Linked DNA regions of Schizosaccharomyces pombe. Changing the gene in region 3 together with the main gene of any one other region gives a genetic interaction. Each region holds a gene or a part of one and is shown on either strand. Other genes may lie near its edges. The genes, in order: rec8, hrk1 and sgo2.

Region 1 (10,596 bases), on a different chromosome or scaffold from region 3:
TATCGTTATCCGATAATCCAAAAATGAATCCGTTAACTTCCTCAAAAATATTAATGAGCATATCGCAAAAATCAAGGGTATCCCGCATTAAATCAACTAAATTGTCCTTATCATGAACTGGCCAAGTAGGAAGAACAATGAAAAAATGAGTAAAGAATTTCCATAACGATTCCCAGAAATTCTTAAGGGATTCTTTCTTTTCCACTTGTTTTGCAAAAGTCGCATCCTTAGAAGTTAAGCCATCAACAGAGTCAAAAATAGTGTTTATAATTAATTTATTAAAATAAACAATGTGCTTGGCTCCTCCAAAGTTTCTGACTTTAAGCCACTGCAGAAGAACATAACATGAAGAATTTAGTGTATTTGAAAACTGGCTTCTCAATAGCTCTCCTATAGTATCAACAACGCTGTCAGAAAGCGAAATAGATTTAATAATTGAGATACTTCCTGTTGAGATCTCAAGAATTGGAGAAAAAACGAGTGAAAAGATTCCACGAAAAGTTAAAGGATTTGAAACCAATTGGGTTTGTGCCGACAAATGCCAACATTGAGTCTGAATAAGCATTTCAGAAAATGTTGCAACAAATCCGTTTAGTGCATTTTCGAAATCACTTTTGAACGGAATGTCAACTTTCTTAGGCGGCAACTTATCAATCAAGCAAACTGTAGAGCAAGCACGAAAAACAATACGAACCATAAAGAACTTCTCCTCTCGAAATACGTTTTGCAAATATACCCAAAAATTTTTAAAAGACTCACTTACCGATTTGATATTCAAGGGTGGCTTTCTATTTCTGTCCAAATAATGGCAATAGAATTGCTTCAAAATATAAAGATCTAAATTCAATCGGTATTCAAAAACTTTCTTAATAAGCCTCCATTCAACAGACTCTTCATTTTCCAAGTTTAGCAAACGAAACAGCTCGTCAAACTTAATCGCTAAAGTGGAATGTAATTCAAATACTTTGTTTTGTAAACTTTGATCACTATGGGGGAAAATCATAAAATATTCGGAAAACAAAACTGAAAATATGTCAGCAAGTGATTGAAGTAACTGAACATTTTTGAAACCGACTTCCAGTTCCTTTTTATATTGCATGGTGTAATTAATCAAAATTTTGTTAATTAATTCAACTTCATCAATGATTGAAATTGTCTTCAAAAGAGAGGTAGCCCATTCAAACGGATTCTCTGCCTTTTGGTCGTTTGAAAAATTGGATGTATTTTCTTCTGTCCACCTCTTATAAGCATTACCATTAAAAATTTTATCTATTACTTCACTGGGAGAAATTTCTGGCGTCCAAAAATTACGTCCATAGCAGTATAACAAAGAATGTAAACATACAAGGAAAGACGGACATAAATTAGTATGGTCGCTTTGCAATCCCGAAAGAATAAAATCGGCGACATTGAAATTTTTTCCTGTAAGTCCCCTAAAATAAAGATGATCAACATGCTTTAACAGCAACGATAAACCTTTCAGAAAAATTTGCATCTCGTTCTCATTTTCTTTCTTCTGGTCTAAAGAACGAATTTCCTGAAGAAGGGGACCCTCAAGGATTTTAAATTCATTATCGGAGATTGTTTTTACATCACTTAAAATACTGCAAGCCCATCTTCGGAGCTCATCATCTCTCGAGAAGAGAAGACTTATGACACCTGGCACTAGGTTTTTCGAGAGCCGAAGAAAACCGGACTCAAGAAATCTGTTTCGGAACAAGGGAAAGATTTCTTTATTATGTAAAATACGAGGAGAGTATAAGATTTCGTAGAAGGCGCATAGTATAGGTTTAGAGGCCGAGGACGTGTCGATTTTAGGCACTGTTTTGAGAACTTCCTGTAACCGAAAAATGTCCCAACTATAAATTTTCTCCATTACAATCTCAAGAGTATTTGGGTCAAAGTGAAAAATGTTTAAACATAGACTTTTGAAATCATCTAAAGATTGGTGATATTTAACTATACATTTGGGGCATAACTGAAGGCGTTCGTTCAAATGTTTTTTGAACCATACCAGATACTCGTTATCATTTTGAAAAGAAAATAGAAAAAGACATTCACGAACTGCTACTTGTAATTTAGGATCACAAACCCAATGAGGGTTTTGTCTGTTAGTATTTAGGTATGAAAGCGCCAAATGCAAAACTTTATTGGACCCTTCGAAAGATGGGTGTTTTTGATTTTCCTGAATTTTTCTTATTAATCTATCAAAAGCCTCGTCATTTTCCATAACCACAAGCTAATGCTGCATTCTCACTCTCGAAGTAGACTTATTAAAGCGCGACTGCAATTTTTCAAAATCTAGGTTTCTAAGGAAGTAAATTACACTATTCACTATAAACATTTAGTGCAACCAATCATTTGATGTCCACACAGCACTCGATTATCGCATTGAAATAAAATAGCCTTAAGAGAAATTTTAAATAAAAAAATGAACGTATATTTTGAAAGTGTATATAAATTCATGTACCAAAATCACGCTTCTTTATTGTAATTAAGATATATATGATTATCCGAAATATATTTTAAACATTACTATATATAATGTGACAACTTAAAAAACTTTCTTACCCATTATAATCCGAAGTTTGTGATTGTGTGTTTAATTCCTAGTTTCAAATATGACTATTTTCTTCACTGAGCAAAGAATCACAGTTCATTTTATTCAGTATATTTAAAAATTTTGCAGTAACATGATATATTCGTTTCATATATTTCCTTTGTAAGGATTTAATTCGCATGCAATCTTTGCGTCAACATACAAGCTTAAATCATTTTTGCTAGTTCTTTGTGATATTCATACATTAATAAAATAGACGTCAAGGAATAATCAATCCTTGTTTTGAATAAAAATTTTCTTTTAAACTTTTAAGCTGTTCACGAATTGACCTGCAACAAAGAAAAAAAAAATATTGATCAATCATATAACTTTTCTATATGACTTTGTCTCTCAAATGAATCAAATAACCATAAACAAAGCCGAAAACCAACTGGATGTGAAATTTTTAAAGAAAATATTCAGTCAAAATTACTGATTACCATTTTTCTCAAAAAGCAAACGTGCGAGGCGCTTATAGTCAGAAAGAAGAAGTTCAATTTCACCGATTTTAAGATCGCTAGCATCAGAAACAGTCAAAAAGCGTTCCAAAGGTGGGTCGCCCACGAATTCTACAGAATTGGAAGAATCTTCTGAACTTTTGGCAGTGTGATTGGCTACTTTACTAAGTAGAGAGGCATAAGATTTCTCAAGTGCTAGTCCCAGATTTCTTAAATTAGATAAAGATGAGCGATTCACAGGGTAGGGTTCTGCACTCGGATCATGAAGCGAGTTAGAGGTCGAAACTGTTTCGCTATTAGCTACCTCAAGTGAAAGAGGATCATCAGAGGGTTGAATTGACGATTGAGTTAAAAGATTTGGACAAGCTCGAAGAATAAAAGTAAGGGCTGCCTCAAAAGTTGTGAGACAGTATCTTTGCTCTCCGCTTAAAAAATCTGCATTTCGAAAGCGTAACACAAAATTCAGGTGCGATATTAAATGAAATCCGGGATAACAGAGAATGCAATATATGGTCAAATTTAATAAAGAATCAGCATTCAATTCTTCTTGAGGAAGTTGAGAGGCATTCAATATACTTGAATTAACGGTCATAAAAGTGTTTATTTTCGATCTAGGTGTGTGTTGCTCATCGAGAGCAAAAAATGCTTCAGAGACTTCATGTAACCGGTTTGTAAGTTTTTCATCATCAGGTATTGGAATGCAATTGATAAGTTCTTTCTTTTCTTCAGAAGCAATAAATTTTTTTAACAAGTCATCTTTGGCAGCATCCGTACTTGTAGATAAACAGAAAATCCTAACACAATATTAGTAAACAGTTATTGTAGGCGAAGTAATCACATACCGATCATACAAATATTCGCAAACTATATCTTCAATTTGGTCCATCCATTCATCTTTTTGGTTCAGCAAGTGTTGTCTCGCCTTTTTCTGAGCATCTATTTCCTCAGGAAACAAAAGAGGCACATTTTGATCTTTTGAAGAGGGTTGAGGGATAAGGGTTGAAGCAATAAACTCATCGGTATGCTTGTAAAAGTTTTGAAATGCTTTTGCTAGTTCTTCAGGCGAAAGCAATTGAGGGTGAACCGGACTAACTAGAGAAGAGATAAACTGTATCACACATGCTTGTACAGTAGTTGGAAGATTTGATGCAGAATTTGGGAGTTTGATGTCTTCTTCCTTAGGCTTATTTGTATATTTAACAGCTCTCCAAGAATTCAGAAAGCTCATCGAAAGGAACTTTTACGAAAGGTGATCAAAAAGTTTAATTTTCAAAAATAAAATTAAACGAAAAAAAATTCTATATATACATGTAACTAAGAATATGTTAGCATAGGGTCTAATTCAAATTTTCAAATTTATATCAGATAGGATAAACAGCAATCGAAGGAACCGAGTACGAAGTATTCGTTGAGAGTCAAAAATATAACAATATATCCCTAATAGAAAATATACATCGTTTTAAAGCTATAAATGCTAGCAATTCCTTCTTTACCTTTGTCGTATGACAAGTTTTCAAGTAATTGTCAAAATATAGAGACACGAATTAAAAAAATAAGAACGTTGATTAAGAACTTGATATAAAATGAAATAATAATCAGAGGTAATGCTTACTTGACTTTAACTTATAAACCCTTCAAAATAGAGGAACAGTGCTGGTAGAACCAAAATTGATATGCATTCATGTTTCGGCATAATAATAGCGTATACTCGTTAAGAAACCGTATACTGTAAATGTAAATAATAGGATGAGTAAATTTAAGTGCTAAAAAAAATAATTTAGAATTATAGATTCATTAATTCCTTTAACAATTAAGATGATCGGAATGTTAGTTTGTACGTTATTTGTATCGAAGATGAAGTTTAATACTTATATAGATTACAATAAACTAATCAATACTTGAAAGCAATTGTTCACTGTACGATATTGTTGAATAATTTGGCAAGAATAAGCATTTAATTTGATGATATATTTTACTTTTTCAAACTTCATGAAATACACATCGAAGTCCATAACAATTGTCATGATATAATATTGTAATTGAAGAGTATGATCAATTTACATCGGTTGACTTTGTTTCTCTTTTTAATGAGTTATCACTGTTAAGAATGCCATCATGTCATAAAAAGGATTTATGGTGTATTATGCAGTGTCTATACCATTCAATATACCCTTAGCCTGCATCAAGGCATTTAAGGAAATAAATAGTAGCAGATTTCCAATTAAGAACTTTTATTTTCTATTTTAGTGATAAAAATTCAGTTACATACCAACGTTTGACGCCGTTTGTTCAGTGTTATCAATACACCTTTGTAAATACACTGATAAAAATAGGGAGATATAACGAGACATTCACTTATAAAAATTATCAGATCAGATTATTAATCCATCCTTCGTCGCCTTTCTTATAACGAGGCGGCATATAGAAATCACCTGTTGTTCAAGTCATTCAAATCTCACATACCATTAATAGCCTTGATATGGGGAATCCAAAAAAGAGAGCAGAAAAGGCCGAAGCGGCAAAATCTAGAAAACAAGACGAGGAAAAGAAAAAAAAAGACGCTGAAGAAGACGAAAAATGGTCCAAGGGCGTCAAAACTAATAAAAAGGAGCAAGAAGCTGAAAAACGAAAAGCTGCGTTGGAGAGGAAAGCTGAACGTGAACGTTTAGAAAAAGAAGAAATGGAGAGTCTTCCATCTAAAGGAGGAAAGGGGTCAAAGAAGGCTGCAAAGAAGAATTCATCTTTAGACGCTTTCCTCAACGAAACCCCTCAGACAGCTTCATATAGTGCCCGCAATATTGATGATGCTTTGGATTTGTTAAGTTTAAACAATTCATCGTCCAAAGATAAAATTGATCGTCATCCTGAACGTCGGTTTAAAGCAGCTTTGACAGAATACAAACAATCTCGTTTGCCTGAACTACGCAAAGAACAACCGGGCCTCCGTTTAAACCAATATGAAGACATAATGTATAAAGAATTTCAGAAACATCCGGACAATCCTTTCAATAAGGTAAGAAGCGATAAGGGTACATGCATACTCTTTTTGATGATGACCATATCATGTATAAACCCTAAACAGGAAAACCATTGTAAATATCATTTTTACTAACAATTTCAGATGAATGTGAGCTATAACACTAGTCAAGATGAGGTTGAACAGCTTCGTAAAGCTCGTAAAGCAGAATTGGAAGCACGTTTACGCGAGTAACTATAGTTATGGCAATATGTTTAGAACTTTTCTTTTTCCTTTTTACTATGGTAATTCTTTTATATTATTTATAAATTATCAATAAACCAATTACTAAATAATTTTTCTCGACATTCAAAAATGAAATCTTAAATTAAACATGAGAAGTACAAAGTGATTTGGTGATACACCGGTAAATCAAAATTTACAGCTAACTTTGAATTTCTATTAGCACAAGAATGAGTGGAGCGTATACTAATTGTAGGGCACAAGTTCTATTCTAACCGCTTAATTTTTTTTTTTGTAGTAATTTTGTACTTGTTGCTTTCATTTACCCAATTATATGATATTTTTTGAACCATTAAGGAAGCCTACTGCTGAAAGCCAAACCACCTGGCAATATGGCTCTGGCAATGCTAAATCATCCGTTCCCCAACTACCCCCATCTCTTCAACACATAACCAAAAGCAGGAAATATTTATAAGACAGTTAAATTGTTTAACAATATAACTGTTATTTTATTGAATTTTGAATTTTTTCTTCTTTATTTACGCAAATGTCGAAAGTTGCTAGCGCTGCTGGAAAGGCGATTGATTGGGCTAGTGTAGCTAGCAAGCTGAAGCTTGATGCCGCAACTGCTTCTGCTATTGCTAATTTTCGCTCTCGTCATGCTCAGGCAGTTGCCAAATTGGGTACATTGCGAGAGCAGGCTACCACAGTCGACTTTGCTACCTATCGTAGTGTTTTAGCCAACAAGGAGATTGTAAATCGTATTGAGTCTTCTATGAAATCTTTTAAACCTGTGAAGATTGATTTAAATTCGCAACTCAAAGCGATCAATGCATTTGAAGCAAAAGCTAGCGAGGGTGCTAAGAAGAATGTCGAACTTGTCAAAGCTGAATTACAGAATTTGAGTGCTACATTGAAGAACATTGAACAAGCTAGGCCTACTGAAGAAATTACCATTGAGGATATGAAACAAGCAGTTCCCGAAATTGAGAAGATTGTTGAAACAATGGTTACCAAGGGCAAATGGGTCATCCCAGGCTACCGTGAAAAGTTTGGTGATTTGAGTATTATGTAGTTTGCTCCATTAATGAAACATTTTATAACTAGCAATCATATGTGTTATCAATACAAATAAATGTCAGTTGAAAGATAGATAAAATTTCGGTATTTATGAATGGTTTCAAGCAGTATGTTGAAATGTTTAACCATTATTATTAAAATTCTTTTATTGAGTTTCAAACTTCTTAGTACAACTTGAATGACTTTATTTAACCTATTATACAAACATCGTTCACAGCATAATAGTGCGTTAAAAATTTCCACGATCTTTTAATAAGCTATGTCAACTTACGTTAAGTTTTGTTATATTCGTATAATCTCTATTCGATCTAGTGGCACAATAATGAAATTGCTTGTACAATATTAACTATGGATACCTTGGTAGGAGAGCTCAAGATTGAAAGGGCACTAAAATCACATATCTTAGCTCAATTATTAATCATTAGCTTCCATTACATTGTGTTTTGACTCAATCAAAGTAATGATATTTAAATATTCAATCCTTACTTAGATTTTAATAAGACAATATATATTAGCAATGGAGACTTCACTGCAGTATACGTTGGATAACATGTGCCGAGCTGTTAAGTATTCGTTAATAACGATTTTATGTGAGATTAGCTCATATGGTTTAACAATGCGGTATTTCTATGCTTGAACTTCAAATATAATTTTGACGCGTTTAATAAGCTATCTGGTGAACTAACGCGTTCCTGTCTTTCACCATGTTTTACAATCAAGATGTTCTTACAAAGGAAAAGGGAGGAATGGGAGTAATTTGGTATAGATTTACTACAAGATAATAATAAAGCTAATAATTATAGGCTCGCTGCTACATTGGGTTCAAAACATTCATTACGCAAGCTTCACAAGAAAGACATTATGTCGGTAGATATCGATGAAGCTTGCGATTTTGTTGCCTTTTCTCCAGAACCGTTGGCACTACGATTAAGTAGTAATTTAATGATTGGTGTAACGCGTGTATGGGCCCATCAATACTCATTTTTCCATTGTATGTGATGACAGTAGTTTAGGCTGGCAATTTTCTTACTAATTATGCTTAGCCCAAGTTTCAACTCTTCATTTACGTGTTCGAAAAGAATTGGACCATTTCACTTCAAAACCGTTTAAGAATATCGATATTCAGAATGAACAAACGAAGTACGAGTACTATTGGATAATATGACAGATATTCAAATTGCTAACCTTTTAGCCCAAAGCAGTTACTACTCGCAGAAGATCCTGCATTTATCCCTGAAGTTAGTCTCTACGATGCATTTAATCTACCTTCTGTGGATCTACATGTTGACATGAGTTCTTTCACTCAACCCAAGGAAAATCCCAATATTTCAGTTCTTGAAACTCTTCCAGATTCTACTTCTTATTTGATCAATACCAGCCAAAATTATAGTTTACGAAACAATGTTTCGAGCTTTGTTTACGAGGACTCCAGAGCTTTCTCTACAGAAGAGCCCCTTGACTTTGAGTTTGATGAAAACGGGGATATCCAGGAATTGACCAAGGGCACTATAAATTCGGATCCGTCGCTACAAGCTGCTTCACAACATAGCAATCTTGGTTCCGTTCAAAGAGAATACAATAGTGAAGAACAAGAATCAAGGATTCACATGTTCGAAATCGATGAGGACGTTTTACCGTTACCCGTTCCATTGCAATCTGTTATGGATTCAGAGCATAATGAAAATGAACCGCGAGCTTTAAAAAGAAGAAAGGTCCAAAAACTGCTGGAGCCAGATGAAAACATAGAACTGTCTACTCGAACTTTGTCCCAATGGAGAAAGAATTATGTTGAACGAATGATTGCTTTGGAAGCAACAAAGTATGTTCGTCGTAGAGGAGCTTCTTCGGCAAAGAAGAAAGAATTGAACAAATTCTTTGATTGGGAATCTTTCCATCCTCTTTTAAAACCATGGATTGAAAAGCTCAAACCATCAAACAATACTCCCTCTGAAATTGACGATGTATTGAGGAACATTGATACTTCTGAAGTTGAAGTTGGACGGGATGTTCAGGGTGAATTAGGTTTAAACATACCTTGGAATACTTCATCTCGATCAAACAGTGCCATAAATTCTAAAAGCCATTCTCAAACTGGTAGTGAGCATTCCACCCCCTTGCTTGACACTAAATATAGGAAGCGCTTGCCGCATAGCCCATCGATGCCGAGTAGGGTAGAATTTCTTCCTGCCTTAGAATCAAGTCAATTTCATGAAACTCTGAACTCAGAACTTTCATTACAACTCTCTGATGACTTCGTACTATACAAAAATACTCAAGAAGAAAATGCACATTTAATGTTGAGCATGGAAAAAGAATGCGCAAACTTTTATGAGTATGCAAAAACGGCTATCTATGAAAATAATGGGCGCATAACATTTTCAAGCTTATTACCCAATGATTTAAAACGACCTGTAGTGGCCCAGGCATTTAGCCATTTACTGTGTAAGTATCACAATCAAACCACGAACTAACAAAACAATAGCACTAGCAACTAAGTCTGCATTTTTAGTTAAACAGGATAAACCATACTCTGAAATTAGTGTCTCTTTAAACCTAAAAAGCACCGATGCCATTTGAAACTTTTCACATGTTAAACTTAAAATTTTTAAAACGTTGAATTTGGGAATTAAACCCTTTGTTGAAGTTGTCAAAATAATTGACTATGTAATAACATTTAAATAGTATAGTATAACACTTTTCTTAGATTAATGAATGATAATGCTAGCGGATAAATAATTAAAATTAATTAACTACTTACCAAATTTATCTAATTATTATATCTTAAAATTGTGGTATATTATTTGTTGGCTGTTGTACATAGCATGACAGTAGCCTCTATAGTATACGAGTCTTGTTAGTCCAGCACTACAACTCAGGATAACTTTGACCATTGCAATGTTGATAAACTAGTGTTGAACTTCTCTTAATATGCCTAGAAGAAAGTCATTGAGGAGTCAACTATTAATTAACGGCATTGATAAAAGTCTGCTATCTGATGACAGCGCTGACAGTTCTGATATTGACGAAGAGGAAGTTTACGGTGTTTGGACTGAAGAGCCCTTTCAAAAAGAGGCTGGACGTTCTTATTACAGATCTTTAAAGAAAAACGATGTAATATATCGCGTTGGAGATGATATTACTGTACATGATGGAGACTCAAGCTTTTATCTGGGGGTAATTTGTAAATTGTACGAAAAAGCAATTGATAAGCATTCTGGAAAGAAATATGTTGAAGCAATTTGGTATAGTCGAGCTTATGC
Region 2 (10,437 bases), 2.7 Mb from region 3:
ATTATGGAGAACAAAGACGACTTGGTCAAGATGCTTACCTTAGAAAACGGCAAGCCTTTGAGCCAAGCTGAGATGGAGGTCACCACATGTAGCGGATATCTTAAATGGTATGCTGCTGAAGCCGTTCGTACCTTTGGCGATGTAGCTCCTTCCAGCTTACAAAGTCAAAACTTTCTCATCTCCATCAAACAGCCAGTTGGTGTCAGTGCCTTGATTACTCCTTGGAACTTCCCCGCCGCCATGATTGCTCGTAAAGGTGGTGCCGCTTTGGCTGCTGGTTGTACCGCTATTTTCTTGCCTGCTTTCCGCACTCCCTACGTTTGCTTAGGTTTAGTCAGGTTGGCGCAAGAGGCCGGTTTCCCTGACGGTGTCTTAAATGTGATCACTTCTTCTGATGCATCTGCTCATGGTAAAGAACTGACTACCAACCCTATCGTTCGTAAGGTTTCCTTCACTGGTAGTACTAATGTCGGTAAAATTCTTATGGGACAAAGTGCCAGCACAATCAAGAAGGTTTCAATGGAGTTAGGAGGTAATGCCCCTTTCATTGTATTCCCTGACTTCCCCATTGATCAGGCTGTCGAATCTTTCTGCACTATCAAGTTTAACTCTTGTGGTCAAGTTTGTGTCTGCCCTAACAGAGTTTACGTTCACAAGAATGTTTACGACGAATTCGTCAGCAAGCTTACCGAAAAAGTCAAGACCATTAAAGTAGGAGATGGATTTGACTCTTCTTCTGCTGTTGGCCCTTTGATTTCTCAAGATGGATGCAAAAAGGTCAGCAAGCACATTGAAGATGCTGTTTCAAAGGGTGCCAAAATCACTGTTGGTGGAAAGGAGATTTCCTCAAGCAAAGGTTATTTTTTTGAACCAACCGTGCTCTCCGGTGTAACTCAAGACATGTTGGTTGCTAGCGAGGAAACATTCGGCCCACTCGCCTCTGTCTTCAAGTTCGACGACACCGAAGAGGTGATCGAATGGGCTAACGACAGTGATGTTGGCTTGGCCGGTTACGTCTTTACCAATAACTTGTCCACAATGATCCACGTTGCCAAAGAACTAGAGGTGGGTCTTGTAGGTGCCAATATCGAAATGGTTGACGAACCATTTATTTCCTTTGGCGGCATCAAACAGAGCGGTTTTGGCAAGGAAGCCGGTCGTTTGGGCGTTCAAGAATTTATGGTGGTTAAGGAAATCAATCTCAAGACTCTTTAAGGATTTTCGCTTTAGAAAGCTGCATATTATTGAACAAGCAATGATGTCCTCTTTTGGTTAATGACTAAAAAATCCTGATGTTATGACTGTTTTACATGTTTGCGATACAAATCGTATTTTAGTTTAATGATATCAAAAAAATTTAATACCTGAACATCGTGGGTCATCGATGAAGAATGGATTGTTGTGTCAGAAAATCTATACTTGTAGTTATTGTTCTGAGCAATCTGAAAAGTTATAAAGAATTGTAGGTTCTAAAATTGGCAATACTGGAGCTAGAAATCTATATAATAGTAAATATTTTTTAATAATAACAGGTGTAGCACGTGAAATTTTGCGTCGCCTTGTAGTTTGTTACTTCCAACTAGACACATGTATTTTTTGTTGTTTGACTTGAAATAGGGTCAGGTATTCAATTTTCCGTATGCAGTGATGAGTGCTGTTGATGAATGGGTACATAATGCCAATGAATGCATAGAAATTGTACAAGGTATGCTATGTTAAATTATAATGTTTTTACCTTGTGTTAACACCTGTCAGTAAACGAAAAGCATGAAAAAGATTGTCAATACCATCCTAGCAATACATATGCAATATTTGGAGATGCTGAGGTTATTTATGGATATAAAGATCTAAATGTCACTGTAAGATTAAATCAGCAAGTTTTAGTCATGAAATTTGATTGCAAATAGTAACAGTTATTAGATAACCTATGAATGCCCATTGATGGTCCCAAAACTGGAAATCTCATATTCAGAGCGCCTAGCACCAGATTCAGGAGTGGAACCAACTGATATTGAAGGAACATTAAACACTTATCTAAAAGATCGTTCCATTAAGGTTGAAGGAAACTCATTTGACGTTCATTCGGCAAATAGTATTCATAACTATTCCTTTAATGGAAAAACATTCAAGATTTTACAAGTATGTTCGATTACCTTTCAATTGGAGAAGTATTCAATTATTGAATATCCCTATATGTTCTTTGGCTAATAATCGTAATGTATTAATAGGCAACGGTTCTTGAAGCTAGTGAGATTATGCAGCATTTGCAAATATTTTCCTTATTTTTTATTGAAGGGGGCTCTTTTATTGACCTTAATGATCCAAGATGGATGGTATATTTACTGTAAGTTTGTTATTTTCTACGCGTCTACTTTCCTTTTACCTTTTTATCGAGGTTTTATTAACAAAAATAAGTTACGAGACTACTGAAGATGATTATTGCTTACGTGGTTATTGTACTGTATACAAATATTATAAATGGGACAAATTAATTCACGATGGTATTCGAGCTCGTATCTCACAATTCGTGATTTTACCCCCTTTTCAACATCAAGGACACGGTTCGCAATTGTACAATGCTATTGTTAGTACCTTTTTGAAAAATCCTAAAATTTTAGACTTCACAGTTGAGGATGCATCGGAAGCGTTTGATAGCCTTAGAGACCATTGCGACTATAAAAGATTATTATCAATGGGAATATTTTCAGAACCTGACTTTCATCCCTCTCTTTCTAGGCAGTGGATAAACTCGAAAATAGCTGAAACAAAGTTAACCCAGGTTCGTAATTTGCTAAATTTACCATGCAATGCAACTTACTAATTGTCTTTTTTTAGCGTCAATTCTCACGCTGTTGTGAATTAGCATTTACAACGAAACTAAAAAAGCTTTCATTATTGGAGCGGAAATCTGTTAGACTAGGAATAAAGGAAAGGATTTTTCGTCAAAATCTTGATGTGTTGCTACAGTTGGATAAGTCCGAACGTATTGAAAAAATTCATAACGCCTATGAAAATCAGTTTGATGAGTATAAACAGATTGTCAAAAAGCTACCCAAGCTTAAGGAAGATTCGCCTCGAAAACGCCAAAAACTTGCTCAATCTTCTTCCTAAATGAAAACACTTTTAGAGATCTGAAATACTTTGAGAATATTGAAGGCATATTAGCATAAAAAGTTATGAGAATCGACTAAATTACACTATTGGACGCAATTACTTTTTATATAATTTGCTTTTGAAAGCTTTCGCTTGAAATGATTAAAGACATTTGAAACAGTGATCATTTTAATAATATAAATTTTGTATATATTTTGCAAATTTAGTGTGATATCTAGTTTAATAAAATCTATAAAGGCACCTTATAAAAATTCAAACAATTCCTCATAATGAACTGCTTTTTCCAAAATTTAAATATTTTAATATCTACTATCAATAATATTGGTTATTTTCAACGACCAGTACAACTTTAGGTGCTTGTCATTCTCATCCGTCCTCCTTCCTATTCCGATCCCGACTTTGTTCATTACCTGACACCCCGGATAAAGTTAGCTCAATTAGCAAATTCTCATTCGATCTTATAAAGGAATTATTCTTTTTCAAAAATGAGTGGAAGATTTGTGAGAGCTAGTAAATATAGTACGCATGCTTTTTGAGTAAATAATTATTAACTGACGTTAGGACATATCTTTGGACAAACCTGCAAAAAAGAACTTTGCTACGACAACATAAAGGTTGGTCGATACTTTAATGGTTTGAAATTTACTAATTGTCTTCAATAGCTTAGCAATAATGCATGGGATTCTAACCTATTGAGTGTGAACCCCTTTTACCTCAGTGTTAATTGGAATGCGGGAGCTGGAGGTGCATTGGCAGTTATCCCTTTAAACGAAAGAGGAAAGCTTCCCGATCAAGTTAATTTGTTTCGGGGCCATACTGCGGCTGTTTTAGATACTGATTGGAATCCCTTCCATGATCAAGTATTAGCATCCGGCGGTGATGATTCTAAGGTATCCTGCTATTTGACTTTATTTATGTATTAACGAATTAGATTATGATATGGAAAGTACCAGAAGATTATACTGTTATGGAGCCTTATGAAGATGTTCATCCAATTGCTGAATTAAAGGGCCATAGCCGGTATGTCGTACATTGCATTAGGGTTTTAGTTACTGACTTTTTTGTATAGTAAAGTTGGTCTTGTTCAATATCATCCCACTGCAGCGAATGTTTTGGCATCTTCTAGTGCAGACAATACTATCAAGTTGTGGGATTGTGAGAAGGGTGTAGCCCATGTATCTCTGAAAATGGATGTAATGTGCCAGTCTATGTCGTTCAACGCTGATGGTACCAGACTTGTAACAACTTCTCGAGATAAGAAAGTTCGCGTCTGGGACCCTCGTACTGATAAACCAGTCTCCGTTGGAAATGGTCATGCAGGTGCTAAAAATCCCCGTGTCGTTTGGCTCGGGAGCCTTGATCGTTTTGCTACAACTGGTTTCAGTAAAATGAGTGATCGTCAAATCGCTTTATGGGACCCTACCAATCTGTCTGAACCGATAGGTGGTTTTACCACATTAGACACCGGTTCGGGAATCCTTATGCCATTCTGGGATGATGGAACAAAGGTAATATATCTAGCAGGTAAAGGTGATGGTAATATTCGCTATTACGAATATGAAAACGATGTTTTCCATTATTTATCTGAATTCAAGTCCGTTGATCCCCAACGAGGCATTGCCTTTTTGCCAAAACGCGGAGTTAATGTTTCTGAAAACGAAGTTATGCGTGCTTATAAGTCCGTGAACGATTCTATCATTGAACCTATAAGTTTCATCGTTCCTCGCCGATCTGAAAGTTTCCAAAGCGATATTTACCCTCCAGCCCCATCTGGTAAACCAAGCTTAACAGCTGAAGAATGGGCCAGTGGGAAAGATGCTCAGCCTGATCTTTTAGATATGTCTACTTTGTATGAGTCTAAAGGTACTGTTGAAAAGGCTGTTTCCGCTACAGTACCCTCAGCTGGTGCTCAGGTACAAAAACATAACGAAGAGAAGGTTGAGACACCAAAGCCCGAAGCTCAGCCAGTTAGCAAGCCGAAAGAATCGGCGGAAGAACAAAAGCCTTCCAAAGAGCCGGAGGTGAAACCAACTACTCCTTCGGCATCAAAAGTAGAAGAACCATCGAAGAAACGTGATGAGGATAATCATCAGAAAGAAGAAACTGTAACCCAGCCCAAGCGTGAGAAAACACCTGTTGAAAAATCTTTTCCGAAACCAGCTAGTAGCCCTGTTACCTTTTCAGAAGATGTAAAGAAAGAACCATCAGAGGAAAAGAAATTGGAAGTTTCTGACGAAGCACCCAAAGCTGCTCCTCTTGCCGAAAGTAAGAAAGTTGAAGAGAAAGAACCCTTTTATGTTTCAAAAGATAAGAAAGATATTTCAGCAGTCAATCTGGCCGATCTCAATAAACGTTTCGAAGGTTTTGAGAAACGATATGAGGAAGAACTCGCAATCCGAGACTGGAAAATTGCCCAATTGGAGGATAAGCTGGCTAAATTAACAGAAGCAATTAAAGAAAAATGTAATTAAGTTTTTTTGTGCATTTTTTATTTTGTCCAGAATGCTTTTTTAAACATATCACTAAGCCCGGACATCATGCCTTCTCCATCTCACCTCCGTACCTTACTACCTCAATATTTACAAATGTAGGAAAAGATATGGAAAGTCGTTCAAAAGTTAAAACTTATGGAAAGAACCGTAGATATATTAATAAAGATATTGAAATTTGGGCTTCTTTAGATGAACGGCCTTGTGCTTTGAAACCTCGGAACATTGAAAATTTTAATAACCAAGAAAGAAGTGACCTTGAGCATATTCACTCTAAACCGAAAAAAGATTCATTATTATCTTGGAACATTCTCTTAAAAAAAGGTTCATACAAAGAAAATGAGTTATTGGCGAAACGAAATCAAAACCTGGTACCTACTGTCATAATACCGGCTTCTCCTCGGGATAATGCATCAAAGTCGGTAGTCAGTAAAAAAGAGGTTGTAAATTTGTCATCTTCTGTTGCTTTATCCGGAAAACCCGCAAATAATTCCAAATTAGATCCACTTCATCGGCTCCTCCAAATAGTAGCGCAAGAAGACGCTCTTCCATTCAGTCAATTTGTTAAGTCTCAGACTTTTGAGATCCAAAAAATTGGCGAAGCAAGTTATAGTGAAGTATACCAAGCCAGCAATGCTGATGACGTTCCCGTTGTTTGGAAAGTTATCCCGTTTGGAGAAGACGGACAAGCTCAATATGCTGATGTCCTAAATGAAGTACAGATTAGCCAATGGATAAAAGTCGACGGTTTTGCAAACCTTCATCAAGTAGTTGTCGTTAAAGGTACTTATCCTTCACTTTTATTAGAAGAATGGGATCGGTATCTTATGCAAAATGGTTCTGAGAACGATCGACCAGATAGCTATTCATCAACGCAACTTTATTGTGTTTTATGTCTTGATCATTCAGGAACAGATCTGGAACATTTTGAGCTCCGTAGTTGGCGAGAGTGCTGGTCGGTTTTTTATGAAACATTAAAAATTCTTTCTTTAGTTGAAACTCGTTATGAGTTTGAGCATAGAGATTTACATTGGGGAAACATTCTTATTCGGAAAGCTGATCGGAGTGAAGAGGAAGTTTCGTTTCTTTTAAATGAAATATCGCTTGACGACATTGAAAGTGTCGATTTTCCCGGCTCACAAGATAAGGCTGATGATTTTGACAACATACTTCAAGTTACGCTGATTGATTTTACATTAGCCCGAGCATCGTATTCTCAGGGTATAATTAGTTACAATGAATTTAACGACCCCGATCTGTTTAACGGTGTAGATGACTACCAATTTGATATATATAGGTTAATGTCTAGAGTGACAAAAGGAAGATGGGCGCAGTTTTTTCCCATTACAAACGTTTTATGGCTGCATTATTTAATTCATCAACTTTTACACAAAAAGAACTTGTCATCGCCGTTAACAGAGACTGAGACGCTTATGAGAAGTCGTCTTAAGCAAATATTTAGGCTTATTGACCCTGTTAAAACAATGCAGTTCCAGCAGGCCGAAGACTCGATTCGCTCTAAATCTACAGTTACATCTGCAACTTCTCTCCTCAATTGGGTCCGTCAAAAATACTAATTATGGTTTTTGCATACTAAAAAATTGAACGGCGTTCGCATTTTTTTAATATTCCTTTCTTTTTCATGGTATGCGTTGCTAAAATCTTATACATATGTACTTATATTTTAAATTTTGGACGTCGAAGTGAACTTTTTTGGTTATTTTTTTTCTTAAAGTTGACCATTTTATGTGGGGTTTTTGTTGTACATAAAAAATTACATATCTTTGACTAGCAAAACTTATAAGTAAATAAGAATTATTAACTGTTTAAATCACAAATGAGTGTACATGTTTTGTTATTTCCTCAGTAAATCCTATGATGATTGTAGTCGCTATTATATAATTTCCAATATGGCTTTCTATTTCCCAGTTTATGATTCGGACTCTCCGACTACAGTGCACCATGATGAGCGGAAGGAGTCGTGGCGGTCCCATGGGTTTATTGTTTGCTTGCACATTAGGTGTTGCATCTGCTGTAAGTATAATTCAAAAATTAAAAAACCAAGCTTGAATATAGCGCTGAGAATTCAATCCCTCAAAATAATAAAAATACTAATCTTTCAGTTTTATTCTACAAAACCACTTTGGGATAAAAATAGGTAAATTGAATCAAACATTTATAAAAATGGCTAACTATAGTGGGGAATGATAGCCCAGAATATAAGCAATTGCGTTCGGAAATTGAAGCTACAAAACGTGATGAAGAGGTAAAGAACGGCGAACTTATCGACCCCAATGTAACAACAGAAGACGAAAAACTTTGATCAGGGTTTATATTAAAACATTTTTTGTCTCATCATATTCGATTTTGTTTCATGAGAAATCTTCAACCTCATTAATATTCTGCAAAAAAAACTTACATACTAAGTAACTTTGTAGAGATTATTATAACTGTTCCGTAAAACTACCCATTTTATTATTTTTAATAAACTAGTACTAAATGAGAAAAAAGCAAATCTGAGTTAAGTATCTGTTATAATAAATGGCAACAAAAAAAAATAAACTAGAAATATACAGTTAATGAACAAGGCATGGCTCCAACTTCGAGTGGTCAATTTTCAATGGTACATTACCGACACAAATGGTATTTACTGCGAAAGTACAAAAGCCCTTTTAAGCGAGTTACCCAGGAATGTTTGCCAATAATGTATTCTGTTCAAAAAGGCAGGACCTCGTAAATAGTAATACAGGTGGGGAAGTAATCGTTCAAAAGCTTTGGTAGATGAAAATGGAACGGGGACAAGTTCGCCAAATGACTCCAATTCCTCTTTGAGTTCTTCTTCGGTCCAGGTAGACTGTTTGGAGACAGAAGGATGTGAGTATAAAGAATCGTTTAGCGATGCCATGTCAGAAGAGCTCCATTCAGAAGCAACATCCATATAAAATAATTTAGCAGCATGAATAAGTTCATGACGCGAGTTGTAAGCAACATGGGAAAATATGGAACCACGTTTATTGTACTTCCAAATCCAATCTAATAAGTCCTCAGACGACCATCCATCTAGTACGTTGGAGGCAATCATTACACGCGGTGTGAAGCGGTTAGCGTATGCTTCTTTCAAAAGAGTTTCCCGAGGTGAAAGAACAGAAATAGGAATGTTTCGCTCTCGCAAAAAATCAATAAGTCTACCGTCTGACCATAAGTGAATAATTTCTTTCATATATGGTGCAGGCTGGCTATCTGTAATATTTGTCACTTTGTCTTGCGATTTTCTTTCCTCAATATCGTAATAACGTCTAGCCAAGACGATTAGGTCGTCATGTGATGCACCAATTGGTACTGTAATGTTTTTCTGATCCAACATAGAAAGGAGTAGATTATTTGACCAGGATTCCAACTCATCATTGGTGGAAATGGCATCGCCCATTGATGCTTGGAAAACTGTTTCCAACAACTGCTCTCGGGTTCCAGGCTCTGGAACTTCGTACTTATTCTTAATAAGCCATCGAGAAAGCTCGGAGTTGGTCCATGAATTGAAAATCCAAACGTCCAATTTTTGTGCGTTATGAGAAGCATGATTCTTCTCCTTCTCATAGAAAGATTTACATTTGTCGGTTACCTTTGATACATACTGTAATGGCTTCCTCCAAAACTGTGAAGGAGTCTCGATAGGAGGAACGTCCAGTGACTTTACCCCATGATTTTGGAGAAAGTCATCAAGCTTTCGTTGAGGCCAAGAATCGGCTGGTCCTCCTATTTTCCCCTTTTCTCTACCGGCGTAAACGGTTCGCTGAACATACTTCGTAGTTGTACTAGGCGCATCATGTATATCAGCTGCAGTCGCTTCAATAGACGATATGTGGCCTGTAATCTTGCCTAGACAATGCCGGGTCAGCCGCTGTTTCTGTAGAAAAGCAACTCAACACTTACCAATTGACAGACAAAGCTGTATTCCTAATGCCAAAAGCGCTCCGTGTAGAAGAAACCTTGGCTGCATTGTATTTTTCTATGTGTTTGGGTGAATGGATGGTGCGTGATGCTTGATGGGTATTACACTTGGTATGCGCTGCTATATGACGTAAGCCGAGCCAGTTTCAAGGCATACAGAGAACAGGGTAAATAAAGCAGAATAAATAAAGGAAACTGCTTTATATAATGTTGAGTTGTTTTTTTATCAAAGAATATGCTAAATCATTAAATTCGCGCCAGTCGTCATAACACCATTCAAAAAAGCTGGAAGCCGAAATTCAATTTTACAGAAAATGTACTTTGCAGAGTTTACATGGGTTCCCAAGTTCGCTGATAGTTTAGATGCAAAATTGGTTTTATGCGATGCTACAAATTTTATAGACCGTTGTGTATAAGAACCCGAAAAGACATCTCAATATAAACATGCTGCTACAAAAAAGTTACGAGATTCGCAAGTTGACAGATTCAGCAACGCATCCTAAGAGAAAAATGAAAATGATGCAAAGTAAATTTATTTTTTCTGTAAAATGTAAATAGTGATTGGACCACGTTCTTCGTAAACAAGATCCAACCATCCCAATATATTGCTCATAAAAGTTTTTTCATTGTCATGTCTTTTTTTGTACGCAATATATAACTTTGTGTTCTTATCCATCAATTCCTGAAGACTTGCCTCCAAATCAGAAAAGCTAGATTCATTGTACATGACATCTGACATAACAATATAATCCCAATGACGCCGAAATTTTCGAGGAATGTCATGTCCCCATACTAAAATATCAGAAGTTATGTTGTTGCTCATTGCAGACTTATTCTTTTCAACATTTTTTTCCATAAATTCAATCGCATCTTCTGTATCGGTCAT
Region 3 (11,393 bases):
TTTGATCGTGCCAAGACTCGAACTTGGGACCGTCTGCGAACTGTAAATGTTAAGCAGAAATTATAACCATCTAAACCACACGACCATGGATTATTCATTCAACACATAAAATATATCTAAACGGATTCTTAAATATATATATTGATAAAAATGATTATTTGTTATTTAATATCTACCTAGGAATTTGAAGTTCTTGGCTAGCATATTACCTGCAATTAATTACTATGTGAGTTTCCTTAAATATAGCCGACCAAATGACAATATATTGGGATCCAAATTTTACCCTCAATAAAATAATTCTGAGATCACACTTTTAAATTAATACAACATACGCTTCTTTTCCACACGGTAAACAAGATAACTAGTTGCTTGGCAAATTCAGCATATATTTTCGTCAAATCGAACAACACGTTGTAGAACAGCCATCTTGCTTTTGTTTATTAAGGCGGTATTTTTCCTCTACCTTTTTAGCAGTGGGATTAAAGTACTGTATAAGTAAATAGGGAAATATTATATGAAGTTAGAATCTCTCACTTACTTCATTTCAATTTATGGCATTTAAGCATTTACAAAGAGTGCTCCAGTACAAAAATATCTCAAACCAACATTCAAAAAAACTGCAAAACTAACGTCGTCTTTGTAAACCTTAAGTAGCTGTAAATAATCCAATTTTGCTTCTTAATCCGTACCCATCCCCTCAAAACACTTTTACAGGTTAGCTTGCGTGGGACAACAACCTCCACACTGCGGCATCAATACTCGATGGTAATCGACTAAAAGAGGTTGATCCCTTACTACACTTTAAAATAATGGATTTTATAAAATCAGCAGCTTCTTTTATTGCAAAAGCAGGTTCTCAATTCCCATATGACTTAAATGAGAAAATCCCTCTTTCTTCTAATTCTGTATGGACACTACAAACGGGATCAATTAGAGTAAGAGACAACGCTTTTCTTTATTCTAGTACTTACAATTTTAATGTAGGAGTCTGCCCAGCCGTGTAGCGTTTTCTCTATTTCTCTGTCAACTCATCCTGAATGGGCTGAACTTGCTGACCGAGCTTGTGAGACAATGAAGACCCTTCGTCATCCTTGTATAATCAAATATCTAAGTACTTATAAAAGCGTAAGTCTAATCTAAGCCTTTACATATTTTTCCTATTTACTAATAGTTCAGTCCACTCACTTGTACATTGCAACGGAAACTGTAAGACCTGTCACAACTGAACTGAATGAACTATCTGCGGAAATAAAAACTTACGGCCTTTGGAGGGTTTCGGTATGTAATTTGAGTTCAAAATGTGGATTAAAACTAATTTAAACGTGTTTAGGCTGCATTGTCATTTCTCAATGATAAAAATATTGTTCATGGAAACCTTCAAATGTCTTCTGTTTATCTTAATAGTGCAGATGAATGGATAATAGGCGACTTTTTCTTAGCAGGTGATTCACCACAATTTATAAAGGATAATCATGACAAAATTCTGAACTGGAGTCGGTTGGTTCCGTTTGAAATTCAGTCTTCAACATTAAATAGTGCTTCATTCATTTACTTGGATTCTTATGAATTGGGAAAGTTCATTTCTCATCTTTATAATGGAACGCCAGGGGACTTATCTCAGCGTGGAAACATTCCAGCCAATATATTTGTTTCTGCAAAAAAACTGTTGAATGTGGAAGGAAAGCAAAAGTTATTAGCTTCAGAATTTCTAAAACTTGGCGAGCGTCCTGGGGGGTTTTTTCGTACACATTTGATTACGTTATATGAACTTTTGTCCGAGGTTCGAATAAACGAAGAGGAAGATAGAGTGAAATTAAAACAACTTCTTTCGTCAAAGCTAGAAGTAATTCCTAAAAACTATATACAAAAGGTTGTATTAAACATCCTCTTTCTACTATTATCGATTGACACCCATTCGGACGTCGTTGAGCTTCTATTCAAATGTGCTCAAATTGTAAAAGGAAGACCGGATATAGAAAAAGACTTTGGAGTACCGTTATTGTCTCTTTTGAAACAACAAAGCGTTCCCATACGAGGCTTGCTACTTTCCGGAATCATTAACAATCCCGACGTGCTACCAAAGAATATATATGAAGACACTAGCTTTTCAGTTTTCGCGAACCTTGTGCGCTCCAATTCTCCCACCTTAAAAGAACATGCTATTGTTGTTTTTTCCATTATAGCACCAAAAGTAAGCCATCTTATCTTACAAATTGCTAATTAGTATACAGCTTTCGAAGAAAACATTGAATAATGAACTACTACGAAGCTTAGCGGTTGTCCAAAATGACCAACATCCTACTTTACGTACCAACAGTACCATTTGTCTAGGTAAAATTGCTGAATATTTAGATGCCAGCGTAAGACTAAGAAGAACTAAACGTTAGGACTTTATTTTTAACAGATTTAGGTGCGAAAACCCGTTTTAGCTGCTGCTTTATCACGTTCTCTTAAAGACCCATTTGTTCCTGCTAGAGAGGCAGCCTTAAAAGTACTCCTCTCAGTTCAAAATTACTTTGATACAAAGGATGTGGCCATCAAACTTTTCCCATCGGTGGTGCCATTACTAATTGATGAAAACGAGTAAGATTTTTTTGAACCTGTATACCACTTAGGAATTACTAACTTTTTGACGTTATTAGAGGAATACGAAGAACAGCTGAGGATGTCACTGACCAATTTTTGAGCCGTATAAAAAACTTTAATTTAGGGGAAAAAGAAAATGTTTCCGCACCGGCAAAATTTAATGGTTCTTTTTGGTCCAAATTTATTCATTCATCTTCTGCTTCTCCTTCGCCTTCTATCGATATGAAAAAGGAGTCGCTTGAGTTAAAAAATGATACCACTGAAATAAAAGAAAAAAAAAATTCAAAAAGTAGAGTTGTTGGAAACACTGAAAACTCTAAGGATGAATTCAATAATCCTCTTTTTGAAACAGAGGAACAGATAGACGAATCTTGGATGGAAAACTGGAATGACGAAGAGGAAACAGAAAATAACGTAGAGGAAAGTTGGGGGTTATAATTTGATTGAATTTAATTAATAATTTTTCGTGGTCAAGATTAATTCACGACTAAATCACATGTCGACTAAGTACTCCATGTACTACTCGTTTTGACATATTTCAATCAAGCTTGATTTTTAATAATTAATATTTTTAATAGCTAATTATTTTTCTCTTTGAACATTTATTAATACCACTGAAAGGATTAGTGAATGGTAGTTCTTTCTTTAGTTATCTATCTATTCGTAAATTCAAAGTATAGTAAATGTAAAAGGATTTTAATGTTCTTTTCAAAGAGTGTATCATTAGTAGTCAAATAATTCGTACTTCGACTATCCAGCACCTCTACACCTTGTTGATAATGATACTGCTGTACAGCCGCGTTTAAGTACTAAACCTCCACCGGGAACGTGGTCAATGAAGTACATCGGGATTTTCTATTTATAATGTCGAAAGCATCTCTTTCCCCGAACGTAGAAGACTGTACGTGATACTTATATTAATCTCAACTGATGAATTAGTGAAAAAAAAGCAAATTCGACAGTATAAGGAAATTATACGGTACGCATACATTTTTGTTGGAATTGAATAATTAATTAACACATACAAAGAATAAGCAAGGCACAATCAATTAGAATTAAAGAATTGCAGTTAGAAAATGAACGGTTGCTTTCGGAAAATATCGATTTGAGGACTACAGCGATAAACTTGGAAGAGCAACTCGAAACCGTGCAAAACGAAAACGAAGAAAACAAAACAAAGTTAGCTGCATTACTTAATCGATTTCATGAAGAAACAGATAATTTTTTATCAAAATTAAGTCTTTGTCAGCAAGAAATACAAGGTACGTGTTTGAATTCATATCGTTTTTAGCTAATTGAACACAGACACCTTCAAACCAGTGGAGGCTAACTTAGCTTACGATGTCGATACGGATTCTGAAGACCTTGACGAGGTAAGTTGAATCGTATTATGTTTTTCAGATATGTTTATCTAACGTCTGAAAGGAATCCGTCGTGAAAGATACCGAAGAAATAATTGAGCAAGCTCAGCATGATGTTTCCTTACGAAATTTAAGTGGAATAGAGGATGAAAATATAATTGATGACGGAGAAACTGCTATAAATGAACAAAAAAAAAGAGAAGCTAATGTTTTTTCCGACACGCAATCAGCACCTCAGCTAAAATCCGGCAAAGCCCTCCCAGCTGATTTTGAAAATCCTTACAATCTATCCAATTCGAAACCTGTAAATAATAATAATGAAGATAGAGTTGAAGCGGTTACTTCTGAAAATAAATCTATCGATTCTGCTCCTCAGGAAAAAAATCATGAATACGAAATCGTTAGTCCAAAATCATTATCCAACAAAATTAATAATCAAGCAGCTGCACAAAGAAGAACCGAAGAAGATAATGCAAATGGAGTTGCTCAAGAAGAAAATGAGGGTTCACAAGAAGCTCATTTTCATAGCAGAATACAATCTGATACAGTAATACAAAGTACACCCACTAAACGGAAATGGGACGTTGACATTCAAAATAAACAAATTAATCTGGCTTCTGCAGCTACCAATGTTACCGGTTATGTATCGGAGACCGATAGTCGCCCCAATCGCGCAAACTCTTTGGATTCTGCTGTCCTTCTTGTGCAATCTTCAAATAAAAGTAACCGAAATGGGCATCATATTTCAGATCCTAATTTAAATAGCTCCATATCGTTGAAGTTTGCGCCTGAAGATACTGCGCATAATTCATTAACTTCACAAGAGAATGTTGGGCCTCAGGTTACGACGACTTCTCTGTCAAATATGACTGTTGCTGAATCTCCTCGTACAGACACTCCAAGGGAAATAAACGGGTTAGTAGACTCTTCTGTCACTAATGGGAACGAAAAATTTTCTGTAGAAATAATGAATGACTCTAACAAAATTGGACTGAATCCTAAATCTTTTACCGACGAAGAGCGGGAAATTTTAACACTTTTTCGAAATCCTCCCATGAGACTGTCAAGTGAACCTCCATCTTCAAATGGATTTTCAATAGCCCATCCCAATAATTCTCCGTTACGTCCGCCATCGCTACAAGGAATATTGAATGCTGAAGATCGACCTTACGAAATTGAGCCGTCACGTAGCTCCTTTGCTACCAACGATACGGGCTCCTATAATAATTTGGAACTTCTGTCATCTGTAACGAATTTGAAATCCCCTAATGAGAACGATCGTGTGACGAAAACTCAGTCGCGAAGAGAAACAAAAGTGAAAAGGCGAAGAAAAGCTCGGATTCAAGAAACTTCTGAAGAAAGTACAGTAGTCAATGAGCCAAATGAAAAACCTGATGGAAGGAGCCGAAGGGAACGGAAAAAGGTTAATTACGCTTTGCCTGGATTAAGGACGAAATTAAGACGGAATTTCGATTTACCTTCAGATCATGTAAAAGCTAAAAAAACGAGACGTGCTCCTAAGAACTCTGAGAATGATTCAGCTACCAAAACAGAAACCGCAAACATTACTTCTGAAGCACCCACTACTTCAGAAGTAACCCTTGAAAACTCCGAAACCCTTAATTTGTAATATTATGTAATTAAATACCTTTCGACATCGTTTAGTTGGTTCAGATTTTTTAAGTGGAGGTATGCGTCAATTTGAAATAAAAAGTCAATATTTTGGGAGTTAACCTTTGGTATTTCATATTACTTCTTTCTTTGTTTATTCACATTTTGTTCTTGTCATTAACGTTATGTACAAATATATGGTTTGGTTAGTTAAATACAATAAACAGGTGTGTAAATATATTATAAAATTACTTAGCAATCCTCACAAATTCAATTTACTATGTACCTTAGCACATTCATCAAGTAGTCCATTTCTAGTGTACCTCGATCGCCCTCGGTGGAAGTACTAACCTACGCAACTGAGTCTAATAAGTCAATATTCTTATGTTTTGTATATAACAAACCTAATTGGTTTTGTGTTTTCTCTTATGTTTATTGTTTTAAGTTTAAGTTGAACTTTCAATCCTTTTTTTGCGATTAGGATCATTGCTTTACTCATCTATTGGGACCAATGTTTAATAACGGCGATAATATGTCTCGTGAACGTTTTTCTTCCAATCATTCAATGCAAAGACAAAAGACTGAATCTCGAGCAAATTTTTCTCGAAGATTAGTCCCTTCCGACTCAAATCGGAAGCCTGTACCTAATGGCGCGTCCAACAGCCCTTTGTCAAGAGATGCAGCGTCTCATTTAATTAGTACAATCGAGACATCGATAATGAAGCTTTTAGTTGTAACAAAGGAGCTTCTTGAAAGCTTAACAAACTGGAGCAAAGGTACAGTTAATGATAGTGCTGTTTCATCCGTTTATGTTACTCTAATAGGGGAATTCCTTCAGACAACCAAGTCCTTTCATGAAGCTGGTATTGAAACTGCAGATTTAAATGATTTTCCGCTAGAACTCAGATCAGTCCTAGAGCAAACACTGGAAAAAACACCATCTTCTGATGCTTTGGAGACCAATCTTCCTAACGTAAGGGAGCTGGTTATGCACCTCCTACAAAGCTTGAAGTATAAGCAATCTCTGGTTAAATCCAGATTAAATCAATCTAGGTCAAATTTGCCTCAAATGACCCGTGAAGCGAATGATAACGATGTTAATCGCCGTAATAGTCGTGGTTCTTCCCAAGGAAGCATATCATCATTTAGAAATCCTGATTCGAGAAAGCAATATGAAGAAACTACGAGTGCCTCATTAAGTGCTCCTGGAGCCTTTGATGCATTGAAGCAGACAAATGCTCTCGAACGCCGAGCTAGCAAACGACTGTCACACATGGTAAAAGACCAGCAAAACAATGAGGGATCTTCTCAGAATTTGAGGAATATCACTGTTGAATCTGTCAGAGGCTTTCTTCGTGATTCCTCAAAGCCAGACAATATAATGGACTCACCGTCTCCCAAAGTATCTAAAAGGCCATCTATCGTTAGACAAGATAGTCATGATTCAAATAAGCTTTCAAGAAGACCTACAATAAATACAAGTTTTGATAGAAAGTTTTCACCAAAACTTACTAGAACACCTTCTTTGACTAAATCATTAGATCCTGGAACACCCACTTCTTTAAAAAGCCCTTCTCTTCGAAAAAGCCCCAGTTCTTTCGTACAAAAGGATGTATACTCTCGTTCTAACTCTTTAAGAATAAGTCAAGCAAATCGAAGTAATGTTTTTCCGGGTGCAACTGATGTAACTAGAAGCGTGTCTGATCATAGAATATTAAGTAGCTCAACCATCAATGACGGAGAAGTCGCTCCGCCACTTCCCCAACGATCAAGGACTATCTCTTCCCCTAATAGCCCATTATCTGCTACAGTCCTTCCATCTAGTACTCCGATTTTATTGCCCAGAGGTCGTTCTTCAACACTATCTGTTAACAAAAAACAATTTAATGCAGATGATGGTTCTACGTTGAATTCGCCGAATTCCATTCGTGAAACTGAAGAATATGCTGCTTCGCCAAAATTGGAAGATATCGCTGATGAGGTTGAGACGGATGCCACAAGTCAGAGGGAACTCCTCGAAAGACAAATTCAAAAAGCAGAATCCTCAGAAGATACCTCTGAAATTGAAAGCTTACAAGGTAAACTTTCATTACCCCAAGTTTCATCTACTCAACAGGAAATACAACCTAGCAGTAGCGTCCCTGAAGCAGCTTCAAATGAAATTGCAGAAAAAGAACCTGCTGTTACTGCAATTGAATCAATAACTGAAAGAAAGGAAGAAGCCCCGGTGATATCTAGTTCTGAAAAAATTGAATCTGGTACGAGTATAAGCACTTCAGATACAAAAGGAGGTTTAGCAAATTTTGAAAACGATTCCTTAGAAGAGCTGGAAAGACTTATACAACAAAACAATGCTGAACAAGATGAACCATCTTATAAATTCCATAAATATGAATATTCATCCGAAGAGTCTGGTTCTGAAGATGAGTTTAAGAGCGAGAAAGATACAAAAGGCTATGTAATCTCTAACGATGACTCGACACAGGTTGAAGAGGATTCAGAAGATAAATCGACTCCAAATACAGGCGCATCTGCCAAATTAATTAACGACCCTTCATCTACTATCACTGTATCTGATGTCTACCCTAAGAAACCTGCCTCTCCTGTTGAAATAACGGAGCCGCCATCCTCGGCTCTTGTATCTGCTACTTCTCCTACTACTAATGTTCCCATCGTTCCCGAGGCCGTCCACCTATCTACCGCTTTTTCTACTGCTCCTGTATCTACGATTGTTTCCAATATTTCTCCTTTACCTACCGTTGCTCCACCTAATGTTTCAGGGTCTCCAAGTGAAACTCCTATTTCAAAGCCGGAAAAGGTTCCTGTTGTTTCTCAGACTGAAAAGGCACTCCCAAAACCGTTGGGGGTAGATACGGAAAAATACTATTTTTTGCGTTACAATAACCAGACCCGAAAAGTCAAGGTTGAAAGTCCTCTATCAAACGCAAATGAGCTGGGCGAACTTTTCAGTAATGTATATAAAATTTCATTTAGTGGCGATTCTTATGAACTAAATATTGAAGACCCCGATACTAAGATAAGTTATCTGTTAGAAGATCTCTCGGACCTTAAATACAAGTCACTAGTTTCTTTTATGTTTAAAGAGCAAGATGCTAACAAGAAGAGGGAAGATTTCCATTCCGGTGAGGTCTCTGCTATTCAACATTCATCTGCACAAAACACTCTGGATGATCATGTTAATACTACCACTCATGAAAGTCCTTCTTCTGCTTTTACAGAAATTCTTGAGCGCTTGAAAGCTATTGAGCAAAATATTTCAACTAATCACACCAACGACTCAGCTGCACTCAAATCGTCAGAAGACCATTCAAAATTGGCAAATAACTTTTCTGTCCCTGATAGTATCGACCACAAGTTTTACCAACAAGTTAAGAATATGCAACTAGAATTGGCTTCTCTTAAACAGATTTCGGCTGCTTTCTTCACCAGGATTCCGTTAAAGATAAAAGATTTTAAGAAAGAGATAAATGCGTTTAATGAAAAGGGATCTCTGGATTTCCAATTTGGAAGAGGATTTGTTTTAAGCAGCAAGGACAGGATTGAACGGGAAGTTAAAAACGTAGTTGAAAAGTTTGATGAGGTAAATGATCAGATTGAACTTATGCGTTCTGATGTGCTGTTGCGCAAAGTACGACCAGGCTTAGATCAAACATCTCAATTAAATGAGGAAAGCGCATACTTGGAAAAAAGGATTCAAACCCTTGAAAGATCTCTTGAGGAAGTAACTCCAATTTGGAAGAAGCAATGGGAACGAGAGTTAAATGCAATTGTACAAGAGCAAGAATTTCTGGATAGTCATACTGTTCTTATATCAGATCTTAAGAGGGATCTTTCCGCATTATCCACTGTCCTTTCAAATGTTTCCGCGATAGCTGAATTGCAAGCCAAGTCCTCCATTAAAAGCAAACCCTTAACTTTGAAAACTGCCACTGAGTCTGAGATTAAAGGTTATCGTGATCAAATTCAGCTAGAAGTACTAAATCTAAAACCCGACAGTGAAGCACGACTACAGGCTATTGAGCGTAGTGAACTGTTGCAGAAAAAACGACTGTTGCAACGAGTAGATGAATTTTCAAAAGAAGTTAAAACTTTTGTTGAGAACGAAAAGTTGAATAAGATCGGAGGAGCGGAAGAGGCTGATCGAATTCGAACAATTCAAGATGAAAAAGTACGTAAAATTCTATGGGATGACTTTGTGTCATCGAAACGCAATGGAAAAAATGGAGGTAGTTTCATTGAGGAATCGAGTGACACTGTTTTAGACGAACATGTTGTGCCTGATAATTCTGCTAAAGCAACTGTTGCAGAAATAGACTACGGTTCACAGGTGGATACAGAGAATTTTATGTTAGAACGCAGTCCATTGGCAACTCCAAAGCCATTGAAGCAACCTGATTTTAATATATATGAGACGCCGATCGTCCGTAGTACAGCTCATGAAACAGATGATGAACAAACCCCTTCTAAATACTCCGATAACAGAGTCGAAAGTTCTAGTGATACAGTGTTTGAGAATACTGATCTTAAGTACGATAACAATGTACAGATGAGTAAAGTGACTCATCATGTAAGACACGATACGATATCCACTGATGACTATGACGCTTACGAAGATGCCGAAGATGTTGAAGAGACAAGCCTAACTTAATGTGCATAAGTTTTATTCGATTTGGCAATGATTGTATGCCAGTTTGTGTATTTTTTTTTTACTTTTTTTAACTTTAATTGTTACGAGAGAAATTACCCTGTATTACACTAGGACTGATGCAAATCTTGTGAATCAAGGATTTGCTGAATAGAGTTACAACATACCTTAATATGTACAGTTATAACAAGCAAAGGAAGCTTCGATGTTGTCCAATACCACTATTGGGATACTATTTTCACTTACAGTCTAACCAAATATGAGATAAACACAGAAAAGAAATCTTAGATATTAAAGAAAATTTGATTAACTTGTCGTTTTAAAAATCAGATATTGAACCATCGGAATCTTAAATACGACGTACGCCGTAACCGATCAAGGCAACACTTAAGCCTACTGATTTCACTAGAGAAGATATAGTTTTGACAAGGATGTAAGGGGTACCTCTGCTTTCTGTGAACATATAGTCGACTACGTCGGGCAATCCAGATGCACCAAATACATAAAGACCCACGAAAAAGGCACCTTTGAGTGTCACAGTGCCTGTAAGTTGCAACAATGCAGCGATCGAGTACGACTGAACTGCTGTACTAAGGAAATTGCTAACATAAGTTGTAGCAACCTTCTTGGTTTTACTTCCAGCGTCATATTCGACGTGAGGTGCAGTGCTCATTGCCCTTTTCCAAATATCGCCCATTAGGGGTCCATAAACGAGGAAAGAAGCAGCATGGTCGAAGGCAATCCCCAAGAGAATTGCACTAGGGCGTACATACGGCATGTGAGTGTAGGATGGCATTTCTTGTATTAATATTTAGTTTGAGTTAGAACAAGATTAATATGAATGTGAATATTTTGTAAAATAAATGTTTTGTAATTAAAGGATTTAAGGGCGCTACCACTAAATATATAGTATACTCAAGGTCCAATTATGGATTTAGGTACAGATTAATTTGGGGCGTCACTTTGACGTGTCGATGAAGTATGATAATTGGGAAATACTGCTTAGCCTGACTTGACTTGTTTTAAGTCGCTATTTCGCTATTTACATAGTGATATCTACATCATTTTCCTAAACTTTTGGTGGAGCAATATCTCATACTGTTCGGATGCTGTGCCAAGTCTTGCATAAAGAAATCAGTGAAGTCGATAAATATAAGATTTGGAGTGCA

Evidence for each region.
Region 1: of sgo2 (region 3) and rec8, changing one enhances a phenotype caused by changing the other (phenotypic enhancement), as found in Schizosaccharomyces pombe (one study listed by BioGRID).
Region 2: mutations in sgo2 (region 3) and hrk1 impair growth when combined (synthetic growth defect), as found in Schizosaccharomyces pombe (2 studies listed by BioGRID, with this or other methods).

What each region holds. Positions count from the first base shown.
Region 1 is NC_003423.3:2,560,898-2,571,493, forward strand, and holds rec8 (meiotic cohesin complex kleisin subunit Rec8), read left to right. Parts: upstream 1-8,040; coding exon 8,041-8,096; intron 8,097-8,105; exon of another isoform or gene 8,106-8,139; coding exon 8,140-8,327; exon of another isoform or gene 8,328-8,379; coding exon 8,380-8,476; exon of another isoform or gene 8,477-8,528; coding exon 8,529-9,778; exon of another isoform or gene 9,779-9,818; coding exon 9,819-9,913; 3' UTR 9,914-10,096; downstream 10,097-10,596. Other genes in the region: ATP-dependent RNA helicase Dbl8, read right to left, coding at 1-2,230; guanyl-nucleotide exchange factor Muk1, read right to left, coding at 3,029-3,851, 3,900-4,285; oxidative stress transcription coactivator/ribosome recycling protein Oxs1, read left to right, coding at 5,537-6,070, 6,179-6,268; atp7 (F0-ATPase subunit D), read left to right, coding at 6,804-7,331; origin recognition complex subunit Orc1, read left to right, coding at 10,265-10,596. UniProt on the Schizosaccharomyces pombe protein: Involved primarily in the early steps of meiotic recombination. Required to ensure reductional chromosome segregation.
Region 2 is NC_003424.3:1,028,583-1,039,019, forward strand, and holds hrk1 (haspin-like kinase Hrk1), read left to right. Parts: upstream 1-5,713; coding exon 5,714-7,180; 3' UTR 7,181-7,410; downstream 7,411-10,437. Other genes in the region: ssd2 (succinate-semialdehyde dehydrogenase), read left to right, coding at 1-1,215; histone acetyltransferase Hat1, read left to right, coding at 1,648-1,705, 1,756-1,859, 1,921-2,139, 2,229-2,344, 2,416-2,779, 2,836-3,111; coronin Crn1, read left to right, coding at 3,600-3,633, 3,676-3,728, 3,777-4,004, 4,046-4,134, 4,184-5,585; SPOM_SPAC23C4.04C (uncharacterized protein), read left to right, coding at 7,451-7,761, 7,815-7,926; nuclear bridge Ish domain protein Les1, read right to left, coding at 8,251-9,479, 9,534-9,600; efm6 (methyltransferase), read right to left, coding at 10,084-10,437. UniProt on the Schizosaccharomyces pombe protein: Serine/threonine haspin-like protein kinase involved in cell cycle regulation. Acts in chromosomal passenger complex (CPC) targeting to centromeres by phosphorylating histone H3 at 'Thr3' (H3T3ph).
Region 3 is NC_003424.3:3,710,737-3,722,129, forward strand, and holds sgo2 (shugoshin Sgo2), read left to right. Parts: upstream 1-3,405; 5' UTR 3,406-3,450; coding exon 3,451-3,487; exon of another isoform or gene 3,488-3,525; coding exon 3,526-3,565; exon of another isoform or gene 3,566-3,615; coding exon 3,616-3,848; exon of another isoform or gene 3,849-3,891; coding exon 3,892-3,959; exon of another isoform or gene 3,960-4,011; coding exon 4,012-5,577; 3' UTR 5,578-5,849; downstream 5,850-11,393. Other genes in the region: protein kinase domain and HEAT repeat protein Ppk3, read left to right, coding at 810-935, 985-1,125, 1,177-1,278, 1,331-2,191, 2,232-2,360, 2,411-2,583, 2,643-3,024; bud6 (actin-interacting protein 3), read left to right, coding at 6,070-10,227; SPOM_SPAC15E1.02C (uncharacterized protein), read right to left, coding at 10,574-11,020. UniProt on the Schizosaccharomyces pombe protein: Involved in chromosome cohesion during mitosis and meiosis by preventing premature dissociation of cohesin complex from centromeres after prophase, when most of cohesin complex dissociates from chromosomes arms.